Astyanax mexicanus: one gene and its partner. The protein of the gene in region 1 binds, or shares a complex with, the protein of each later gene. Links are inferred from orthologs where the notes say so. Each region holds a gene or a part of one and is shown on either strand. Other genes may lie near its edges.

Region 1 (10,621 bases):
AATTGGGATATATTTATATATATTTTTACACTACTGTGCAAAAGGTTTAGGCAACATTCAAAAATAGATTAAAATAACTTAACACTAATATTACAATAAATACCAATAACACTGTAAAAGTAGTGATTATACATCAATGTGTTCATTAAAGCATCTGCAAAGCTTTCTTTCTTGTGAGTCCGATCTAGTATAACTGGTGATGTAACTGAAACACCCACATGCTGACTGAGCTGACGTTATGGAGAAATCTGAAACCAAACTTTGTATTTTTAACTAGCTCACAAGCTCTCAACTTCTTTCTTTTTCAGCTGAAAAAAAATGTTCTTACTTTTTTTTTTTTTACTGTATTTATGTTTACTGGCATCTGTGTTAATGTAATCTAGAGAATTTGGTGGCTAAATGCTAACCTCAAGAGACTGGGTTGTCCTGCCAAATGGGACTAATGATACCTTAAATCAGACAGAAGGAGCTGAGGGGGCACTGCTACACAACAGTGAGTCATACAGAGTCAGAACCACAAAAACAATCTACTACATTACTGAATAACTCCACACACATTAAAGCGAGTGTCTTATAATGTAGGCATGCAGTTTATGAGCTATGCAAGCATTCTGCTTGTTAGCAACAATATTCTCTTAGCTCCAGTGCTCAAACCAAGCCATTTTTTCTATCACAAGTATCCAGTTAGGTCTGGCCTTGTAGTGACCTTCCACTGGTTGCTATGACATCTGAAGGCCAAAAAGGAAAAATCTGGGCAAGCAGTGGGACGAAGTGTGAAGCCCCGATAAATTCCAGACCACAGACAGCATGGAGCCAAGCAGAGGAAGGCTTAGATAGATAATAAGGCAAAATATTCCAACTTTTCAGCCAAATACCTACATTGTTTTGTGCATACAATGTTGCAACATGTACACACTTATATACAAGTACACACACTCTCTTACCTACTGTCTCCCTTTCCGAGGTTGCTGCTGGCTGGTTGCAGCACTGTCTGATTCCCCTCCATTTCCACCACACATTTTGTCTTCAGGTCCTTCTCTGGGAAAAGGCAGCATAAAAAACAGACGCACTGAATAAACACTGATAATACACAAACTGATAACACACAGAGAGGAACAGAATGAGGCAAGACAAATGTCTGGATAGTCATGTCAAAATCCCTTTTACACTAAAACACAAGACATTTGAGTACTTTTACAGGTAGTGCTCAGTCTACGTGACCATCACATCTCTTCGGAATCACACACAAAAAAACACCTGCCTCTTCTTTCCCAAAATAAAACCATTAATTCCAATGTTAAACTAAATCATGGTAAAATCCACTTTGCATTTGCTATGTTTCTCTTACCTTTGCTGTAGTTTCTGATATTGTATCAGCTTCTGTTTACACATGAGTTTCTCAGGAACTGTACTGAAACTCCAGCAGGTAATCTGCAATGTCAGCTTCATTTTGACTCCAGGCCATCTTACTAACTTCTTCCCATTTAAACTCCCAATACGTTTCCAAGTAAAAGTGTGTGTAAAAGGAGTTGCGGACAGTAATAAACCGCATTATCAACTGTGATTAATTATTTATTATTTTAGAAAATGTAAATCTCACATACTGGTAGAAATGATGTAATGATTAAGTACTATCTATATTTCTCTCTTAGAAGTAAACAGGCCATATTTTATTTTTGGGCTCTAAGACATTTATGCAAATGTGAATTTAAAAACTGTCAGGGCTACTAATTACAGTCTAACTGGGTTGGGCTAAAATGCTGTAGGCTATATAGGTGGAAGGTTTTGAGAGAAAAAGTTTAAATCAGCTTAGTGTTCATATATGAATAATGTGGATTTAAAAGAAGATATATTCAGGATACTATCACACCTTGAAAAGCTAGTTTACAGTCCTAACAATTAAGCAGGAAAACGTCCAGCTTGACCATCCAAGCTGACAGGAAAGCACAAAAAAAAACACTTTCATTTTCGGAAGCGCTGCAGTGTGACCCTATTCACAGGTTATTCCTAGGCCCGTAATCAAACTTAACTGTATCAGACTTGACAAAGGTGGGAAAGAATGTCCATTTAGTTAATTATATGTACATGAAAACAAGTTTTACGAGTTTGTATTTTATGTAACACTGTTGCTTTCTTTTCATTTGTGTTTTTCTATAGTTCTTGGTATTTCCTTTTTTATTTTACACATAACATAAGAACATAGATTTTCAGTCTGTAGATGAATGCTGGATTGCCTCAGAAACTACTGAACACCGGTTCATAAGTTATTCACTTGTAGATAATATTAAAGACATCAAAACTATGAAGAAATGCATATATGCAATTATGAAGATAACAAAATAAGTTCTTTGCTAACATATGTTTTGTCAGCTGTTTGTGAAGACCGAAAACTTGTGAAGAATATTAATATGTATTTTAATCTATAAGGATATTACATATATATACAAAGTCATAAAGGCCTTACCTCTTCTGTTCAAGGGTCTGACTCGAACAGCCACCTTCACATTTGAACCATTCACACTAGAGTCATCCATGGTTTTGTTATTGCCTAAAACAGTGGACAAAACAGTTTATTATTTAACATCAGGCTCTACAAATGACAGTACAGAACTATTACATTTATAAAGCTGTTTTTAATTCTGACTAGAATTCCCAGTTCCACCTTAAATGAAGCAGGAGTTTTACAGTAGTAAAGCCCGTGCTCGTTCCGTCTCTAGCATGTAACTGCTGCAGAATTTAAGGTGGAAGTGTAAAAGTTTAATAAAAAGCTAGAGAATTAGGAGTCAGATTAATTGTGGTGAATAAAAGCGACTTCACACTTACTTTCTCTCTGATTACTCCACACGGACTGAACTGCTGAACGCGTTTCCTGCCATAGTCTACTGTCCTCTCGTATCATGAAGCAGGATTAGGGAGTCTTTCTCCATTATTACAGCTCATGTAAACAGTTGTCAGAGTAAACTCACACCTCCGATTATCCTGGAGTTCCTCATTCCTTCACGAGCAGTGAAAAACACAATAAACGCGTAAATAAAGAGAGAGAGACCGATTTAGCTCCTTCTGTTAGCCAGCTTAGTTGGCTGTCATCCAGACAGGAAAAATCACAACAACAAACTCACTAATTTGTCCTTACGCGACTTTTACACAGGCTGTTTAAAACGTTAACGAAATCAATCTTAGTCTACACTGTCTTTAAATGTCTTTAAAGTGTGAGAGACTTCCACCTGTTTCCTCTCCAGCTTCTTCTCGCCATTTACTCCCACGGAGCTCCTGCGGACTCGAGCAGGTGGAAGAGGAGGATTAGCAACCGGACAGGAGTTTCTGAGAAAACCACGCCCACTCCATGGCCACGCCCCACATGACACGCCCCCTCCGCTGGTACCTGTAGATTTTACTTTTGAGCTTTTAAACTATGTGCTGCTGTATGTTAAATTTAAATAGAAAATATATGGGAAAGTGAAGAATTAGGAATAAATACATTTTGGATTTTTCAGAGCAACACCCTTCTGTAATTTCTGCCTCCCCTTTAAGATAAAGGAGAGTCTAACTTAATATTTCAGTCACTAATTCTTCTGTAGCAAAATATAATTGATTCCACTTATACAACATTTCTGCAGAAGATCAGAGGCTGTAGCCTCTAAATATTAATTATTAATTATTTAACATATTTCTATTATAAATAGTTTATTGTATATGATAATATATTATACTAACTATGTATGAATATATATAATCAATATTATAAAGACTTTTGCACATAGAATGTATTCTATGTGCATCAAATGTATTCAAAAACCAACACATTGCAGGACACGTTATATTGCTGATAAGTTTATTATTTTATATACTAGTAGTAATACTATAAGAACAACCATCTTACAAATACTACTACTACTCCTGCTACTACTACTACTACTAATAATAATAATACATACATACGTACATGTAAAATATTTTTTCATGCAAGTAACAGCTAAAAGTGGTATACAGACAATATTACTCTTCAATAACCACATTAAAGTTTGTTCTTTTGATTCATTGTTTAAATATTTATTAAAAAATGCTCATTGTAGAATAAATAAAAATACACAAATACACAAATACACATATACACATCGTACGTGTATGAGCTTGGCCATTTTAGTGCTCTGCTATGTAATTATTCTTTATTAAAGTAAATCACGTGTGCCAGAGTGAGTTTTACAGGTGAATATGCTCATTGCTAAGATTTGGAAATTTCTTGCCTAAGCAATTGAAAGGATATGTCAGAAACAATAAAAATTATTGCAATAAAATGAAAAAGGAAAATGCCACAGAATTTGTTTGGAGAGCATATAATTTTATTTTATGTTTTAGATAAATATATATCAGTATCAAGTATTTTTTTTATTAACATTTAATAAATCCCTTTTACAGTTCACAGTTTACATCATTTGTGGGTTAGGATCAGTTATGTGTATAATATGTATATTATATATTTTATATTTAATATAATAAAAATAATAATAATGCTATATGCACTTAAAGGTTTCTTGGGAATAATATCAAGAGGTAGATGGATGATCACAAGCCATCAAACCAAGCTAAACTGGTTGAAATGTTGCACCAGGAGTGGCATAAAGTTATCCAAAAGCAGTGTGTAAGACTGGTGGAGGAGAACATGCCAAGATGCATGAAAACTGTGATTAAAAACCAGGGTTATTCCACTAAATACTGATTTCTGAACTCTTCTGAAAACTTTATAAATATGAACTTGTTTTCTTTGCATTATTTGAGGTCTGAAAGCTCTGCATCATTTTGTTAATATCAGGCATTTCTTATTTCTAAATGACAATATTTTTTTTGGGAATTTGGGAGAAATGTTGTCCGTAGTTTATATAATAAAACAACATTGTTCATTTTACTCAAACATATACCTATAAATAGCAAAATCAGAGAAACTGATTCAGAAACTGAAGTGGTTTTCCAGAGCTGTATTGTGGATCTGAAGCTCTCCTAAAGCAGTAATAATGTGGTAATTCTCCTCCTGGGCGCTCGGGGGCGGTGTGGGTCTCTCAGTCTGATTCTCTCCTCCACACCGCTAGACTGCAGCCTGATGAGAAACCGAGTCCAGTGTAAACAGCGCCTGATAGAAACTATCCCCGCATCACAAACATGAAGCTGGTGAGTGTTTTATAACCCAGACACTGACCTACTGACTGTACACACCTCTGAACACACGCAGACCTCAGCATGGCTGATGATGCTGCTCCACAATAATGTAGACTAAAGATGGTAGAATTTTCCGCGCTACCTTCAATCTGTGGAAGTTATCTCCGCGCGCCCGCTGCACCGTTTACTCAAACAGCGAGGCATTTAAGGTGGAACGGGAAATTCGAAGACAACACAACCTCGTGAATAGTAGGGTTAGTGTACTAGAATTCACATTGGTATGTTTAAAAAACTCAGTCTTTATTTGTATCATTAAATACCCAGTTGTTAATGAATTCACGTAAATGCATGTAAAAGTATATTATCTTTCTAAAAGTCTTTCGACTATATTTTGGAGCATTGCTGTGAGGATTTGATTGTATTTAGTGACAAGAGCCTGAATGAATCCAGGACCACCCCGCCCTAACTCATCCCCAGCTCATCCTAAAAGTACTGGATGGAGCTCCGTACATTTACTATACATCCACATGATATACAGTAACTAAACCAAGTGACCGTCTTCAAAACTCTCGAGTGCCCATTGTTGCCGGTGGACAGGGCTTAGCATTCAGATTCTCATTAAATTAATTCTGTACATTAGCCTAACTAAGATTACATCTTTCTTTTCCAGTATTGTTTATCTGGTCATCCAACGCTGCCTTGCAATGTCCTCAAGTTTAAATCAACCACAATCATGTTGGACTGTGGTCTGGACACCTCATCTGCTCTGTATTTTCTCCCTCTGCCGTTGGTACACAGGTGTGTCATCGTATCACTTCAGATTCACCTGAACCTTTTTATATCTAGTGTTGTGATGAATATAACCTTTGTAATAGGGTGATGATGATTTGTTGCTGAGTTTATTTATGTTCTTAACACATTTCAGTCCAAGACTGTCTAAACTCCCAGGCTGGGTCTCTAAGGACGGTACAGTGAATCTTGAGAAAGTAAGTATAATTTTTTACTCTTAATACATTAGTGCAGGGATGAATGTATGCATATTCAGTGTAATATGATACTTTACTTAACTGAATGTGCTCTCTGTTCTTGGTTAAAGGAGCTCAAGGAATGCGCTGGTCGTGTTTTTGTGGACACACAGCCCGAGTTTTGTCTACCTGAGGTGTGTGTTTGTATCCTGAAATATTGGTCTTTGGGGGGATTGTGGAGAACATTTTTTTGTTTACTACATCATTTCATGTGTCCATTAACCTGTTTTTGTATTTAATATTAATCTACAATGTAAAGAAAATAATTAAATAAAGAAAACCACTAAATGAGAATGTGTGTTAAAACCTTTGACTGGTACTGTGCCTTTTAAACAAGAAAATATTTAGTGCTTATTCTTGTATTTTACGCACTGATTGTACTCACATTTCAGGGCACTATTTATTCAAATTGTCTAAAATAGATTTCTTTGGGCTTCCTGGTACACTTAATATGTTTATACTGACGTGCACAATTGGTAGAACTGATTTTTATTTTTTATTTTTGGAATATATTAATTAAATGTTGCATCTTTTACATTCTGAATTATTTAAAGTTTGTAAAAAATGTGTCTATGGTGCCTAAACCTTTTCATGCTGGATGTGTGTTTTTGTTTTTGTAGCGAGAGCTGCTGGACTTGTCCACTGTTGATGTTATATTAATCTCTAACTACCACTGCATGATGGCCCTGCCCTACATCACTGAACACACAGGTTTCTCAGGAACAGTCTACGCCACTGAACCCACCTTTCAGATTGGCAGGTAGCCTGTTTATCAGTTCTGTATATATACTGTATTTTTCACACTGTAAGATGCACTTAAAAACCTTTAATTTTCCCAAAAATCGCAAAGTGTTGCCAACCGTGTCTAGCGCTTCTGTAAATTGCACTGTTGAAAATATTGGACATCTAAGCCTACTGTAAATAACAGAAATGCTTTACTTAACCAAATATATCATTTTAAGGAGAGAAATCTGTGTAGATTAACAACATGGCAACACCCTTGATCCTAACTATTGTCATTTAAAATGAGCCTTATAATCCGGTGCGCCTTATGTATGAAAATAGATCAAAAGACATTTATTATAATATGGTGCACATAATAGTTTTATTTTTCAGCTTTAACACTTGTAGAGGGTTGCAAAATATCTGATGGATGGAAGTCATATAGGTAAAAGGAGAGCAAGGGCTTCTGTTAATTAATTGATTACTAATTAATAATAATAATAATAGTATAATAAGAATAATAGTAATAATGATAAACCTCAATTTTCATACATTAAGGCAGCTGAAGGAACTAAATGGTTCACAACATCAGCTAATATAAACATTAATCAACAAATAATCAATAAAAGCAGCAAAAGATAAAAGTTTATGAACATGAAAAAGGTAGAAAAAAAATGTATATAAACAAATGTTTTGTTTATATCCTCAGACTGTTGATGGAGGAGCTGGTCACTTTTATGGAGAGAGTTCCAAAGGCTCAGTCTGCCACCTGTTGGAAGAACAAGGAAATACAAAGGTCAGGAAGCAGTGGGACTTCATACATAGTCATAAACAGTGTTAGTTGCATGTGTGCATTAACAATATTCACACTGTTTTACATTGTTGAGTGTTTTTGTTTTAGTAGCTTTAAGAGTGATGTTTTTGTTTTTAGGATGCTTCCTGGGCCGTTAAAGGATGCAGTAGATGTGTGGTCGTGGAAAAGGTGCTACAGCATGCAGGAGGTGAACTCTGCTCTCAGTAAAGTGCAGCTAGTGGGCTACTCTCAGAAAGTGGTATGTCTCCATTTCTATTTAGACTTGTGATGCTAGGACTGTAGAGTAAATAAAACCTCATGTTCCTGTACCATTTCTGTATCTTTTCTTGGGAACACTGGAGATGTGACACTTTAATTTCAATTCAGTGTACAGATTGTGCTCTCAAAATAACTCCCCACAAAGCCATTAATGTCTAAACTGCTGGGAACAAAGGTGAGAATTACATTTCATTTTCCTTTAAAATGGTGTAATAGTATTATTATGCTAGTTTATTATTCTAATAGTAATGGCTTTTAATGCTCTGTAAATTACTATAATGTCATTTAGCACATTTATTTCTGCTGTAATATTAATGCTTGGCAAAAACAGGGACTGTGACAGGTCTAGGCATCTTATCATCAGGAGTCAGTGTCTGACAACAAATCAGAAAGTAGTCGTGACACTGAAAAAACTGTGTAAAAACTTTGTTGCACTTATACCAACAATACACACACACACACATACTACTGTGATACCATTGTCACTACGATGTTACAGTCACTGCTGTGCTAGAAGTGGACCAACACCATATAATATCTGGAAAGTAGTGTTTTTGCTTAGAAACTGATCCGTAATGATAAATGGGATGGAGGAGGCTTCAACAGATGGGATGTAATATCTCTTTCTCTTTCCCTTACTCTCTCTCTTTCTCTCTCTTCTCCTCTCTCTCTCTTCCCCTCCCTGTACTGTAGGAGCTGTTTGGTGCAGTGCAGGTCACTCCTCTCAGCTCTGGTTATTCACTGGGCAGTTCTAACTGGATCATCCAGTCGCACTATGAAAAAGTGTCCTATGTGTCTGGATCATCTCTGCTGACCACACACCCTCAGGTCAGCTAACTTGCATTGTTCAACACATCCTTCTGGTTTATTCTAAAACCATTAGTGGTTTTCTCATGTAGAACAAAATAACTATTTAATAAACACAATACTAATAACTAAAACTAGAAATGCGGAACATGTTTAATGTAATCTTTTGTTTAATTCCTCTATCAGTAAGTTGCTCTTATAATATCCAAAACATACCATAGAGATGTCAATGCCTTGCCAGTGTGTTGCATGTACAGTCACTGTGTGTTTGTGTTACTATGGTGTTTATTAACTTCAGTGTTTAAGGTGGAATTGATGATATCCCATTAGTTATTGCGGCTTTACTTTTTACCAGATAGAATCATGATATCGTCCTAAAATCATATGGCCAATGTTAAGAATCATAGTAACATACATTAGGCCCAATCCCATTCCTCTTCTGTACCCTTACCCTTTTTTATGAGTGTAACCCTGCCTCTTGGGACAGCATTACAAGCAGAAGGGGTGAAATCCTTTCCCTAAGCACTAAGAAGCTTTTTGTATGCTGGTTATGTGTCCATAAAACACTGAAACTACCCATTAAACTATGGTAATATAGCTAGTGGTTATCTTCATTTTAACAAGGAAAATACTCAAATTTGTGGGTTTCTTTGTTTCTTTGCAATTTTGCCAATGATTCTCAGCCCTTTGTTTTTTGAGTGTGCCTCTGAAAAATTCATTTGAAGGGCAATACACCCCTAACACTATACTCTACACCCATGCAGTCTAACAAGAATCGAGACAGCATGAAAGCGTAAACCTGAGGGGTAGGGCTAAGTGATAGAACCAAGGGGTGAAATGGGGTTGGGCATAGATGTACAATTTAGCCTGTAACATTTTTGTGTGACTACCACCTAACTAACTTCAGTTCCTCTCTAAGTTAAGTTTATATCTAGTACATTGCTGTTTCAAAATATGTTTTAATATTCTTTTGCTCAATTAATTATTATTACTTGAGAATAATTCAAGCTACTCTTTACACTTCTGCCTCTTTAATTAACCAAAATAAGAAAAAATGGGAGGTAGAGTATAAGGTTTAATGTCCACTGCAGGCCTTCTGTGTTTCAGACTTTAAAGTTTACTGTGTTGTGATTTGCAGCCCATGGACCAGAGCTCACTGAAGAACAGTGACGTACTGATCCTGACAGGCCTGACCCAAATCCCCACCGCCAACCCAGATGGCATGCTGGGAGAATTCTGCAGCAACCTGGGTCAGTTGTTGGGAAAGCTTTCTTAAAGCTATGGTTTGATTAAGTGTCAAGTTTACATGCTTTCACCTCTTTTAGAAATGTAGCCAGAAATCAGCCACGTAATGTTTAGTGTTTAAAGTTTACTCCAGTGGTTGTAGCCTCAAAGCTAAGTTGCTAAGTAATAGATAGGTAATAGAAGTTTGTAGTCACTTGCTTAATACACTGCATGCCTAAATCATCACACACTGTAATTATAATATATTCTCTAATAGAATTGGCTTATGTTGTTTCTGACACTGTGTGACATGTGTTGCATCAGCAAAACACTTAATGTTTCATCAAACTAGCTCTGTATTCTCTTGTTACTTATTCTCTTTCATTAATCTGTGTTCTCTTAGCAATGACGATCCGGGCTGGGGGAAACGTGCTGGTGCCGTGTTACTCATCTGGGGTGATTTATGACCTGCTGGAGTGTCTTTACCAGTTCATGGACTCAGCTAACCTGGGAACCACACCCTTCTACTTCATTTCCCCTGTGGCCAACAGCTCACTCGAGTTCTCCCAGATATTTGCTGAGTGGTATGCAGAGTAGCATATACTGTTGTAAGGTTCTG
Region 2 (10,706 bases), on another chromosome or scaffold:
AGGCCTCTCCAGAACACTGAATTGCTTCTGTTACAGAGCCACACCTTAGTTGCCCTGAATGTGTGTTTTGGGTCATTGTCATGCTGGAAGACCCAGACACAACCCATCTTCAAGTTAATATCAGCATTAACTTAACATCTTTCTGGAGCTGAATTGCTTGTGTTATCAGCAAACTTTGTTTTGGTGGCTGAAATTATTGGTATTGGAATAATTTAAAGCGCTCTGGCGCCCTCTAGTGACGCTGTGTTCTTTACCGTGGCTCTTCCCTCCATCTCCAGCTTCTTCTGGCCGTTCAGGATCTTGTGTCCGACTGTTCCCTGCACGCAGTACCCCGGCATAATCACCTGCAGGAAAACCACACGACACGACGGAGAGTTTCACACCAAACATGGAGCAGGAGACTCCAAGAACTCCAAGAACACAGAAATCTCCTCCTGAGCCCAACATCTCCATAAAACCGCTTAAACACAGACACAGCAACTTTATCCAGACTTTATCCTGCCACTCAGACATTCTATATACAAGTGATTGGGGTGAGGATTGGAAATATGACCATATAATAATAAATATGACCAATAAAAATCACAAAATATATTTTTGCGCTAAAATATTCTTGGATATACAAAAAAATATATATTTTTTAAATTCATTTCAAGAATATCAAGAATGGATTTTAGGTTTGTATTTCTTACCATGTTCTTTTCATTTCCAGCCCATTTCTTGAATATCTGTAAAGACTGTCCAGCGTGCAGCATGCCTGGAGTGGCAAACACCACCTAAACCATAAAAAACAAAAATAAAAATAAAAACCAGAATAAAACAACAGCCACACCAATCTGACCTCTATAACGCTCACACCAGACTACAACTACTATCACAGACCCCTCCCCCCAAATGAGGGTTCTGTATTTAACTGGCAACCCCCCGCCGAAGGTTCTACACAGACCGGGCAACCTATGACTGAATATTCTGAGTAGTGTCAACGCATTGCATCACCAAAATGATGAAACATTTGTTTTGGTTACCTGTGCAAAAGTCTGGTATGACACACTACTGGCTACTGCTACAGAGCGAGGCTTACCATTGGTCCAGGATTGTCTGCGTAGGAGCGGTCGAACGCTTTGATGTGCTTGAACTCGAACATGTTCCTCTGGACGAAGGTCTTGCGGATCTTCTGATTGGTCCAGGTGATGAAGAGCTTGTAGTAGTGGTTTGCTTTCTCCGTCAGTCCAGTGGAGAAATATATGGGGGCTTTTAAGTTCATTCTTTCCCTGATTAAAGGCAAAATAAACATATAAATCAAAACTCAGAACCCTTCAACAGCAACAGACCTATTTCTTCAGCTTAATCTGATTCTTGTTGCCACAATTTTTATTTCAGACTCACCAGAACGTTTCCAAAAGGATGCAAAGCTCCTGAGCTCTTCCCAACGCAAACACTGGAATAAGAACCTGTGATCATATAAACACATTTAAAATATACACAGTGAGTAAAACAGAAAAAAATCAGTTTAAGGTATTTTTATGATGTATTTCCCTAAAGCTTTTGTTCTCACCTTTCCTCCTCTCTCGATGGTTTCGTGGACTTTCTTTAGGAAGTCTCTCTCTCTGCAGCGTTTGGAGTCGCGGATGGTGGTGGCGTAGGTCGACTCAGAGATCAGAATATCCGGACGACATTTATCGATCCACGCCGCCCTGCAGAGAAAGAGCTTCAAATAAACTTCAGCTAAACCTGAACTCTTTAAAAACTGTTCTTAGAATGAATTAAATTAAATACATTATTAAACGGAAAACCATTTATCAAAACATTGACCGGGATGAAGGTACAGAAGAGTGCAAAAGACTGCAAACAATGCAAAACCACCAGGTTATAAAACAGGTTCTTCCCCACAACTATCAGACTCCTCAACCTACCGGACAGGTTCACTTAACTGTAATACTTTAATATTTAGAACTGCACTAATTGAACTGAATCTCATATTGATATCAAATATTACTCTAATCATATTGAAAGACTTTAAAATATTTTTTAAATCCAATTCCGACATCTAAATATTATTAGAAAAACAGTCTGAATAACTAAATATATAAATATAAAAAGGAAAAACAATGCTTACCCTAAGTGTCTGTCTGGGGTCATGTTATAATCCCCCTGTAGGACAAATCACATATATTAAATTATACATGTATTAAAAAAAAGAGTGTATAATATTTCCACATGCTTTTATTGAAGCAGAAAACAGTTATAGTATTATTACTCACAGTATAAACCACAGACTCCGATCCGACTTTAATCAGAACCATCGCCGCCCCCAGAACATGACCGGCGTAGTACGCTTTAATCTCCAGCTCATCGTCCACCTAGAGCACAAAAATAACAACAACACCAGCGGCGTTTCTGTCTTTTACCAAAAACCTCCGGGACATAATCAAGAGAAAATTCTGCTGCTCATTTTAGAAACTTCGCATGAAACAGAGGAAACACACAGCGAGGTAAACAGGCTGAGGTGCTCTAAAGTCTGGATCTACTCACACTCTGAAGAAGCCGTGCCAATTTCATCTAAATCAAATTCATTTATTTACATGTAAATACCCATTAATAACCGAGCTGGCCAACAACGTCCAATAGACGTTCATTTCAGGTTGAATGTTGGTCATGACGCCAAACGACAAATATTTTACGTCAGGATAAAGTCTAACAGTGTTCTGTGCCTGCAGGGAAGCGCTTCATAACCGTGTGCACTGTTTGATATTTGAACTCAAGTAAATAAACAATGCGATAAATATATAGCTTCCTTTAATATACTGAGCAAACAATTATTAACCTTCAAGAAGTGCAGACTAGTACGATGTAAGAATCTTTTTAATGATGCGCAATATTAGTTATAGAAATTATGGGGGGAAAAAATCTTTATTGATTAAAGCGACTTGCCGATTGATGAACAGTGTGTTTAGTTACTCACCTGGACGGTCTGGTGGAGGTTGAGTGGAACCACTTTCTTCATGCAGTCTTTGATCATCTGAGACGTGAAGAAGTTTGTTTCCCCCTTTTTGTCCACAGTGATTTTCCTGAAGTCCTCCAGCAGGATGGGACAGATGGCCTTGGTGGGATGGGTCATGTAGATGGGTCCGTCGTATCCCACCATCTCACTCATGTAGGGCAGAGCGCCGCAGTGGTCCAGGTGGAAATGACTGTGAGAGATCAGCAGCCAATCAGAAATCAGTTCATCAATTCTTTAAAGCAGTGCTGTCAATGTTCTATTTTTTAATGCAGATGCAGAACTTTCAGACCTCAAATAATGCAAAGAAAACAAGTTCATATTCATAAAGTTTTAAGAGTTCAGAAATCATCAATATTTGGTGGAATAACCCTGGTTGGTTTTTAATTACAGTTTCTTTTCATGCATCTTGGCATCATGTTCTCCTCCACCAGTCTTACACACTGCTTTTGGATAACTTTATGCTGCTTTACTCCTGGTGCAAAAATTCAAGCAGTTCAGTTTGGTGGTTTGATGGTTTGTGTTTTTACCTGATAATAACACAGTCCAGAAACTCTGTGAGGCGTCCGTTCTGCGTGATGTAGGAAAAGTCTGGGAAACGTCTCTAAAGAGAAAAAAACAGCAAAAAATAAATGAACTATGGAAAAACCATATCAATTTACTGTAGTAGTCAAAAGTTTGGACACACTTTACATGTTGTGTTTTATCATTACTTTAATTTCCTTTATTGTAGATTAACAATAAACTCATTTAAACTATAAAGAGAAACATCTGGAATTATTTAGTAAACAAAAAAACTTAAACAAACCAGAATATGTTTTATATTTAAGATATAACATTTTCTCAGTCAGCTTTATGTTCAGTTCCAGTAAGTTTCAGTAGCTTAACCTACATCATCATTATAGCCCATGTGCATCCCACAGTCCAGCATTATGTTCTTTCCTCCAATAGAAACCAGGATACAACTGCGCCCAACATCCTGCCCAGCTCCTACACACACACACACACACACACACACACACACACATATTAATACTGAAAACACAGACTTTTTAACTATTATTACAGAATTACTGAGATTATAGGATTCAGAACACGAACTGTATCCTAGTAAATTATACAGTTTCAGCTCTAATCTATCAGTCAATCAATCAATTAATCAAATCAATTATCCTTTATTTTAACTCTGGAGTACATTGAGGGTGACCCTTATTTACATTGCAGCCGAGGATTTACAGTATAAAAGGGATTGAAAACATTATATAAAAAAATTAAAATTTTTAATACATAAAATAAATACACACTTCAAATAAATACATTTAATATAAATGTATAATATATTAATATATACATATAAAAGAGGGAAATCTAAATAAAACGACCATAAAAAATTAACACACAAAAAGTGAAAGCATTTATCAAATTTAAAATAAAGAAATTCATAAAAATAATATAGATAATAGAAATAAAAATAGTAAAAGTAAATGATAAAATAAAATAATGAGTAATAAGTGACAGAGTGATAATAGTAGAAGGTATAATAAAGAACTAAGATCATAATAATCCAAATAAAACCTAAATAAATGAATAAAAAGTAAGAACAATAAACAGTACAGAAACGCAGCTTACCCAGCGGAGTTACTTTAATGTCCGGCATGATGAAGCTTCAGGAGCTTTATGAGCTTTAGGAGATTCTTATAATATTAATATTATTATTGTAGTTCTGGTTTATTTACTGTAACGTTAGTTTATGCTACAGATGAGAAGCTAACCGGCTAACCGGCTAACTAACACACTCTTATACTGAGCTGCTAGTTTACTACATACTGAACGCTTCCAAATTCCCCTCTATATTAAACACCATAAACACAATAAACTACATCTAAATAACTCAAATCACGCTGTTTACAGGCGGATAAACTGATAAAAAACATATAAATTTAATTTAATTCAACATAAATGTCTCAAAACTAAACAGCGGACATGCTGACTGAACCCGATTGGTCCGCTGACCTCCAGCCAATCGTCCGCTTCAAAATTGAGCACGTGATGTAGCAGCCTGCTTGATTGGTGAAAATGCCAAAGGACTTTTAACGTAGGAACAAATATTATTTAAATACATTACATTATACATTATATAAATACATATATTAAATGTCCATATTATAAAAAAATATTAGAATTTAGTCTTAGAATATCGAAAAAGACATGTAATAAACAAACAAACAAATAAGACGTATGATAAAATACAAGATAATTTGTTAAACTAAAGAAAAAAATACAGTTAATGTACATATATTTTATATATTAACTATCATTATTATTAAAATTATGGATAACCTAATAACAAAATAATATCGCTTATTTAATTTTTATTCAACATAAAAGTCCCCAAAAATAAACCACAGCTCAAAACGGCGGAACCCGATTGATGCACTGACCTCCAGCCAATCGCTTGCTTTAAAAGTAAGCACGTAATATAACAGTCTGCTTTGATTGGTGGAACTGCCAGCTCTGGTCTTTAGGTATCCGGAAGAGTGACTAAATACTTAACCGGCTGCGTCCCAAACCAACGCTCCCAGAGGGTGCACACTGCGCAATCTACAACCCGGCTAAATAAAAGTCTTACCAAAAAAACCGTAAGAAAAACTATAAGATAAATTACTATAAAAATCTAATAAAACTTAAAAATATAGTTACTATATAGAAACAAACAAACAAACAAATACGATTTCAAAAGTAAGAGAAAATTTCTTATTATATACATTATATTTTATTTATTATTATATATAAAACACATTATTCATATTTATTTATTTTTTTATTTTACAATATTGTTATTTTTTATTTATTTTTTATTTCGTTTAGCTGTACTTGTTGTAACTTTGGGAAGGAAAGGAATGTAATTCCAATCCTCTGTATGTCCTGTACATATGCAGTATTGACAATAAAACTACTTGACTGTATTATTAAAAATTATCTTGACCATAGTTTCACAAAATAGTTTCACAAAAAAATAGAAAAATAGATAAAGATTAAGAAGTGTTTTACATCGTCACTTTCCGTTCTTGAATGCTCACTTATTTTCTTTTATTGTAAGTGAAAATAAGTATACATTTAGACAAAAGTATTAATTTAAAACAATATATTACAACGCTCAAAATGCTCAAACATGTTTTTTATACGTTTTCAAAAGCAAATAAATTTTAAATTGTATTATTTTAAATGACTTGTTTTTAAAAAAATATCAATAGGTTTTGAGTAAATACAAAATCTACATCTGACTATTTTTTTGTTTCGGTAAGTCCTTTAATCTGACGGGTGGAATTCTGAGCACGTCACTGAGCGCCCTTGGTAGGACACAGGGTGTGATATTGGAGCGCAGCCGGTGAGCAGACCGGGTTAGTAGGTACAGTAGAATCAGATCAGGCTGATAAACTCTGATGTTTTAATCTGTAAAAACTCCTAAAGTTTAATATCCTGAGCTCGTATCTCCACTCAGCTCATCCGCAGCTGGTTTAGTAGCAGATCTGGATCATGGCAGAGTCGTTTAGTTTACAGAATGTATTGGACACCTTTAAATCCAGCCTGAGTGAGAATAAGGAAATATATATCCAGTATTATATAGCAGGGTGGAAGGAGCTGGTCAGGTATGGGACAAACCTCTTTTTTCCCTTATTTCTTTATTCTACAGTCTGTACAGTCAGGATTTTAGAGCTTTATTTAATACTGTATTAAATATAAACTGTTTATATGATCAGTATAATATTAAATAATAAAATACTTATTTACAGCTCTGAAAAAAAATAAGAGACCACTTAAAAATCAGTCCTGAGAAAAGGTTATATATATAAAAAAAAAAATCAAACTTTAAAAAAGGGACAGTGAAATCATGTTAAAGTATGTTTTGCTTTTGTCTTTTACATTTTACAGGAACTTAAACCAGCAAATTTATTAAAAATGAGAGAGAACATAAAAATTATGAGTTTCTATGATTTTATCAAATAAAAAAAAAACTCTGGAATAAAATCAATATAATCAGATGGATGATCACAAGCTGATCATCAAACCACCAAACTGAACTGCTTGAAATAATTTTTGCACCAGGAGTAAAGCAGCATAAAGTTATTCTATTACAACATGTAGTCCAGCAGCCCCAGACCATCACACTACCACCACCATGTTTTACGTTTAATATGATGCTGCTCTTTTTATGAAATGATGTGTTGGTGTTTTAAAGTGTTAGTGTATGTGTTTTAAACTTTTCTCATTTTTTTCCTTAGTACACAAATTCATAATTTATTATCATCATTGCTTTTTATATTTACTCAGGTTATGTTTGATATTTGTCTGATATTAAAGTTTGTTTGATAATCTGTTGATTATCTAAGTATGTAAGTAAGAAATCTGCACTGTAAATCAGTAATAAAATGTAATAATTCGTCTCCTCTCCTCCCTCCAGCTTCATGAACAGTCTGGGAACCGTGTTCTCCTTCATCTCTAAGGACGCGGTGAATAAAATCCAGATTCTGGAGAATCTCCAGGCCGGCGAGTCCGGCTCTCACTACCTCACGGTGCAGTCGATGGTGAAGTATGAGCTGGAGAACGAGCTGGTGGACCTGACCAAGAGGAGCAGTCACCCGGAGTCGGGCTGCCGGACGCTCCTGCGTCTGCACCGCGCTCTGCTCTGGCTGGAGCTGTTCCTGGAGCGTCTGCGCACCAGCACCGAGGAGAGCAAGACCTCCGTCATGTGCTCGGACGCCTACAACGAGTCTCTGGCTCAGCACCACGCCTGGATCATCAGGAAGGCGACGGGCGTGGCTTTCTGCGCCCTGCCCGGCCGGGACTCCTTCTTCCAGGTGATGAACGCAGGCAGTGAGCAGGAGGTGGTCGCCCTGCTGGGAGAAGCTTTAGCCCTGATCTCAGAGGTGCATCAGATCACAGAGGACCTGTACGCCCAGAACAACCTGCTGGAGCTGCCCTAGATATAGCAGAAGACGCAGCAGTAGATGATATACAGTAGTTTGGACACACCTTCTCTTTTTCAGTGCGTTTTCTTTATCTTCAGGACTATTTACATTGTAGATTCTCACTGAAGCATCAAAACTATGAATGAACACATGTGGAGTTTTATGTACTTAATAAAAAATGAGCTGAACCTCCACAGTCACCGGACCTGAACCCAATCCAGATCCAGGTTTGGGGTGAGCTGGAGCACAGAGTGAAGAAGACAAAGGAGCAACAAGTGCTAATAAACACCTCTGGGAACTCCTTCCTTCCTTCAAGACTGTTGGAAAACTTTTCATTTCAGGTGGCCACCTCTTAAATGAAGCTCATTGAGAGAATGATGCCAAGAGTGTGTAAAGCAGTAACCAGAGCAAAGGGGGGCTTTTATTTTGAAGAAACTAGAAAAACTATAAAACATGTTTTTTTAGTTATTTTCACCTTTTTTATTAAGAACATAAAACTCCACATGTGTTCATTCATAGTTTTGATGCTTCAGTGAGAATCTACAATGTAAATAATCATGAAAATAAAGAAAACGCATTGAAAAAGAGAAGCTGTGTCCAAACTTTTGGCCTGAACTGTAGTAGATAGTGTAGTAAAATGACTGTGTGGAATGATGCTGGTTTTATTTGGCGCTACTACTGAGATCTTGGATCTCATCTCATATCGTATAATGACTATATTAGGCTGTTATCACTTTATACACTTATCTCTCTTTCTTTTTGACCAAACACATGGTTTCATGGCGACGGTCAACTAAATGCTAAAACTCAATACCAACAGTTTTTCAATAATCATACAGCTCTGGAAAAAAAATAAGAGAGCACTTAAAAATGATGAGTTTCTCTGATTTTACCAAATTAAAAACCTCTGAAATATAATCAAGAGGAAGATGGATGATCACAAACCATCAAACCACCAAACTGAACTGCTTGAATACATTTTTGCACCAGGAGTAAAGCAGCATAAAGTTATCCAAAAGCAGTGTGTAAGACTGGTGGAGGAGAACATGATACCAAGATGCATGAAAACTGTGATTAAAAACCAGATTTATTCCACCCAATATTGATTTCACCAAATATTGATTGAGGTCTAAAAGCTCTGCATCTTTTTTTTCTTTTTCTGCAAATAAATGCTTTCAATTACAAAATTTATTTTATTTGGAATTTGGGAGAAATGTTGTCCATAGTTTTTAAAATAAAACAAAAATGTTAATTTTACTCAAACATTCAGAAACTGATGTGCTCTCTCCATTTTTTTATCCAGAGCTGTATAGATATATAGTTTGAGTAAACAGCGTGAAAGACTACAGCAGCAGTAAAACTGTACCAATAGAAATGCTTTTGAATGCAGTTGAATTCCATTGAAAGCTAGGGAGGTTCTTTTGGGCTTCCAGTGGCTCAGCAGCCAGAGTCCGAGCGAGCACAATGCTTGGTCGTGCTCTCTCTCTCTGGGGGGATAGGTGGCGCTCTCTCCCCTCATTTCTCTCATGACAGAGACCATATGCAGGCCTGCAAATCCACTCAGGCCTCTTTTTAATGTAAATTAGTACGAATGACCAAAATTGAATGTTTAAGGCAAATCTACTGTATGTACTGTATTTATATATGATTAAAAGGGACAAATTTAATGCAGTGTATATAATAATCTGCTGAGTTTAATAAGCCATGATGACCATAGCCAGGATGTATTACAATACTATATAATATATGTATGTATATGTAATGTTTTTGAATGTTTAAGGTTAATGGTCTGAATTATATTAAATTATTGTATAATTATAGTTTTTCCAATTTTACACAGTATTTGCAGGACATGTTTTTATTATAAACTTGGATGTAATACTGCACAAATTATTACAGTCTGACCTCTGTGTGTATTTTATTTTTCGGCATGTAAATAAGACTTGAAAACATTAAGGGGATGGGTATGTGGACTTTTGCACTACATTGCTGACGGAAAATAAAATAAAGTGGGCATAAAATTGATCCATTAAGTGTTTTTTTTTTATTGTTTTTACAAACTGAAACTGAACTCGAGGAAAAGAACATAAGATTTTACTTGACTTGTTAAGGGTTGTGATTCTTTTAGCCATTGTATCTGCTATTCAGAAATACCTGTAAAACTAAACTGTGTCTTCAGTCCAGTTTAGTCCAATATTTTTTTTTATATATAATTATTTTTATATTAAGAAAGTGGTTAATCAGAAAACAACAAAACACTATTAATATATACTTGAAAATAAAATAAAAAAAATCATATATTCATATTTTTTTAAATATATATATTTTAAATCAAACATTTTTACAAAACTCTTGTAGAACATTGTTTTAAAGAAAAGGTAAGTAGTATTTAATACCAACATTCGCAAGTAATAGTGATTTAACAAAGAGATCAACATACTGGAAACCAGAGGTCTAATTACCCATTAGAACAACCTGTTTACATCACTGATTAAATCTAATGAACATCTCATAAACATCAAAAATGCACGAAAAACATGATTTTTCCGCGTGTTACAGCTGCTGCGCCTGCGCTCATCTCCACAATGAGGAGGGGCTTCCCTCCAGTGCGCTGACTCTCCTCCCCTCTCAGCACAAGCAGCAAGCTGATTAGCTGTTTTTGCTGAAGGGAGGGACTTTACTGTCAACAACAGAAAAAGACAATAGAAATGTTAGGAATAGCATCTAGACTAGTTGGA

Evidence for each region. The genes of interacting proteins can lie anywhere in the genome.
Region 2: the proteins of ints9 (region 1) and ints11 are in contact, whole or in part, in a cryo-EM structure (PDB 8RC4), measured with the Homo sapiens proteins. The link is inferred for Astyanax mexicanus from reciprocal best matches to the Homo sapiens genes INTS9 and INTS11. Residues at the interface, in NP_060720.2 of Homo sapiens: Glu127, Gly198, Tyr199, Ser200, Gln201, Lys202, Tyr231, Glu338, Phe339, Ile342, Phe343, Glu345, Gln352, Lys354, Val355, Tyr356, Leu357, Pro358, Glu359, Pro360, Pro361, Arg511, Arg512, Tyr513, Glu514, Lys515, Ile516, Glu517, Ile518, Met519; in NP_060341.2 of Homo sapiens: His94, Gln97, Ala98, His137, Leu138, His139, Gln140, Thr141, Lys274, His277, Tyr278, Lys280, Leu281, Phe282, Ile283, Pro284, Trp285, Arg291, Phe294, Ser449, Pro450, Ser451, Ile452, Pro453, Val454, Gly455, Ile456, Ser457, Leu458, Leu461.

Annotation. Positions count from the first base shown.
Region 1 is NC_064408.1:84,683,686-84,694,306, forward strand, and holds the start of ints9 (integrator complex subunit 9), read left to right. Parts: upstream 1-5,055; 5' UTR 5,056-5,154; coding exon 5,155-5,163; intron 5,164-5,193; exon of another isoform or gene 5,194-5,405; intron 5,406-5,821; coding exon 5,822-5,949; intron 5,950-6,076; coding exon 6,077-6,137; intron 6,138-6,247; coding exon 6,248-6,310; intron 6,311-6,796; coding exon 6,797-6,936; intron 6,937-7,608; coding exon 7,609-7,695; intron 7,696-7,830; coding exon 7,831-7,951; intron 7,952-8,664; coding exon 8,665-8,799; intron 8,800-9,916; coding exon 9,917-10,028; intron 10,029-10,405; coding exon 10,406-10,586; intron 10,587-10,621. Other genes in the region: kif13bb (kinesin-like protein KIF13B), read right to left, coding at 945-1,038, 2,465-2,548, 2,824-2,899. UniProt on the Homo sapiens protein: Component of the integrator complex, a multiprotein complex that terminates RNA polymerase II (Pol II) transcription in the promoter-proximal region of genes.
Region 2 is NC_064420.1:438,903-449,608, reverse strand, and holds the start of ints11 (integrator complex subunit 11), read right to left. Parts: upstream 5,024-10,706; 5' UTR 4,656-5,023; coding exon 4,628-4,655; intron 3,989-4,627; coding exon 3,891-3,988; intron 3,603-3,890; coding exon 3,529-3,602; intron 3,192-3,528; coding exon 2,963-3,191; intron 2,361-2,962; coding exon 2,262-2,360; intron 2,152-2,261; coding exon 2,117-2,151; intron 1,695-2,116; coding exon 1,556-1,694; intron 1,452-1,555; coding exon 1,387-1,451; intron 1,272-1,386; coding exon 1,082-1,271; intron 777-1,081; coding exon 693-776; intron 345-692; coding exon 255-344; intron 1-254. Other genes in the region: ceramide-1-phosphate transfer protein, read left to right, coding at 6,536-6,648, 7,461-7,983.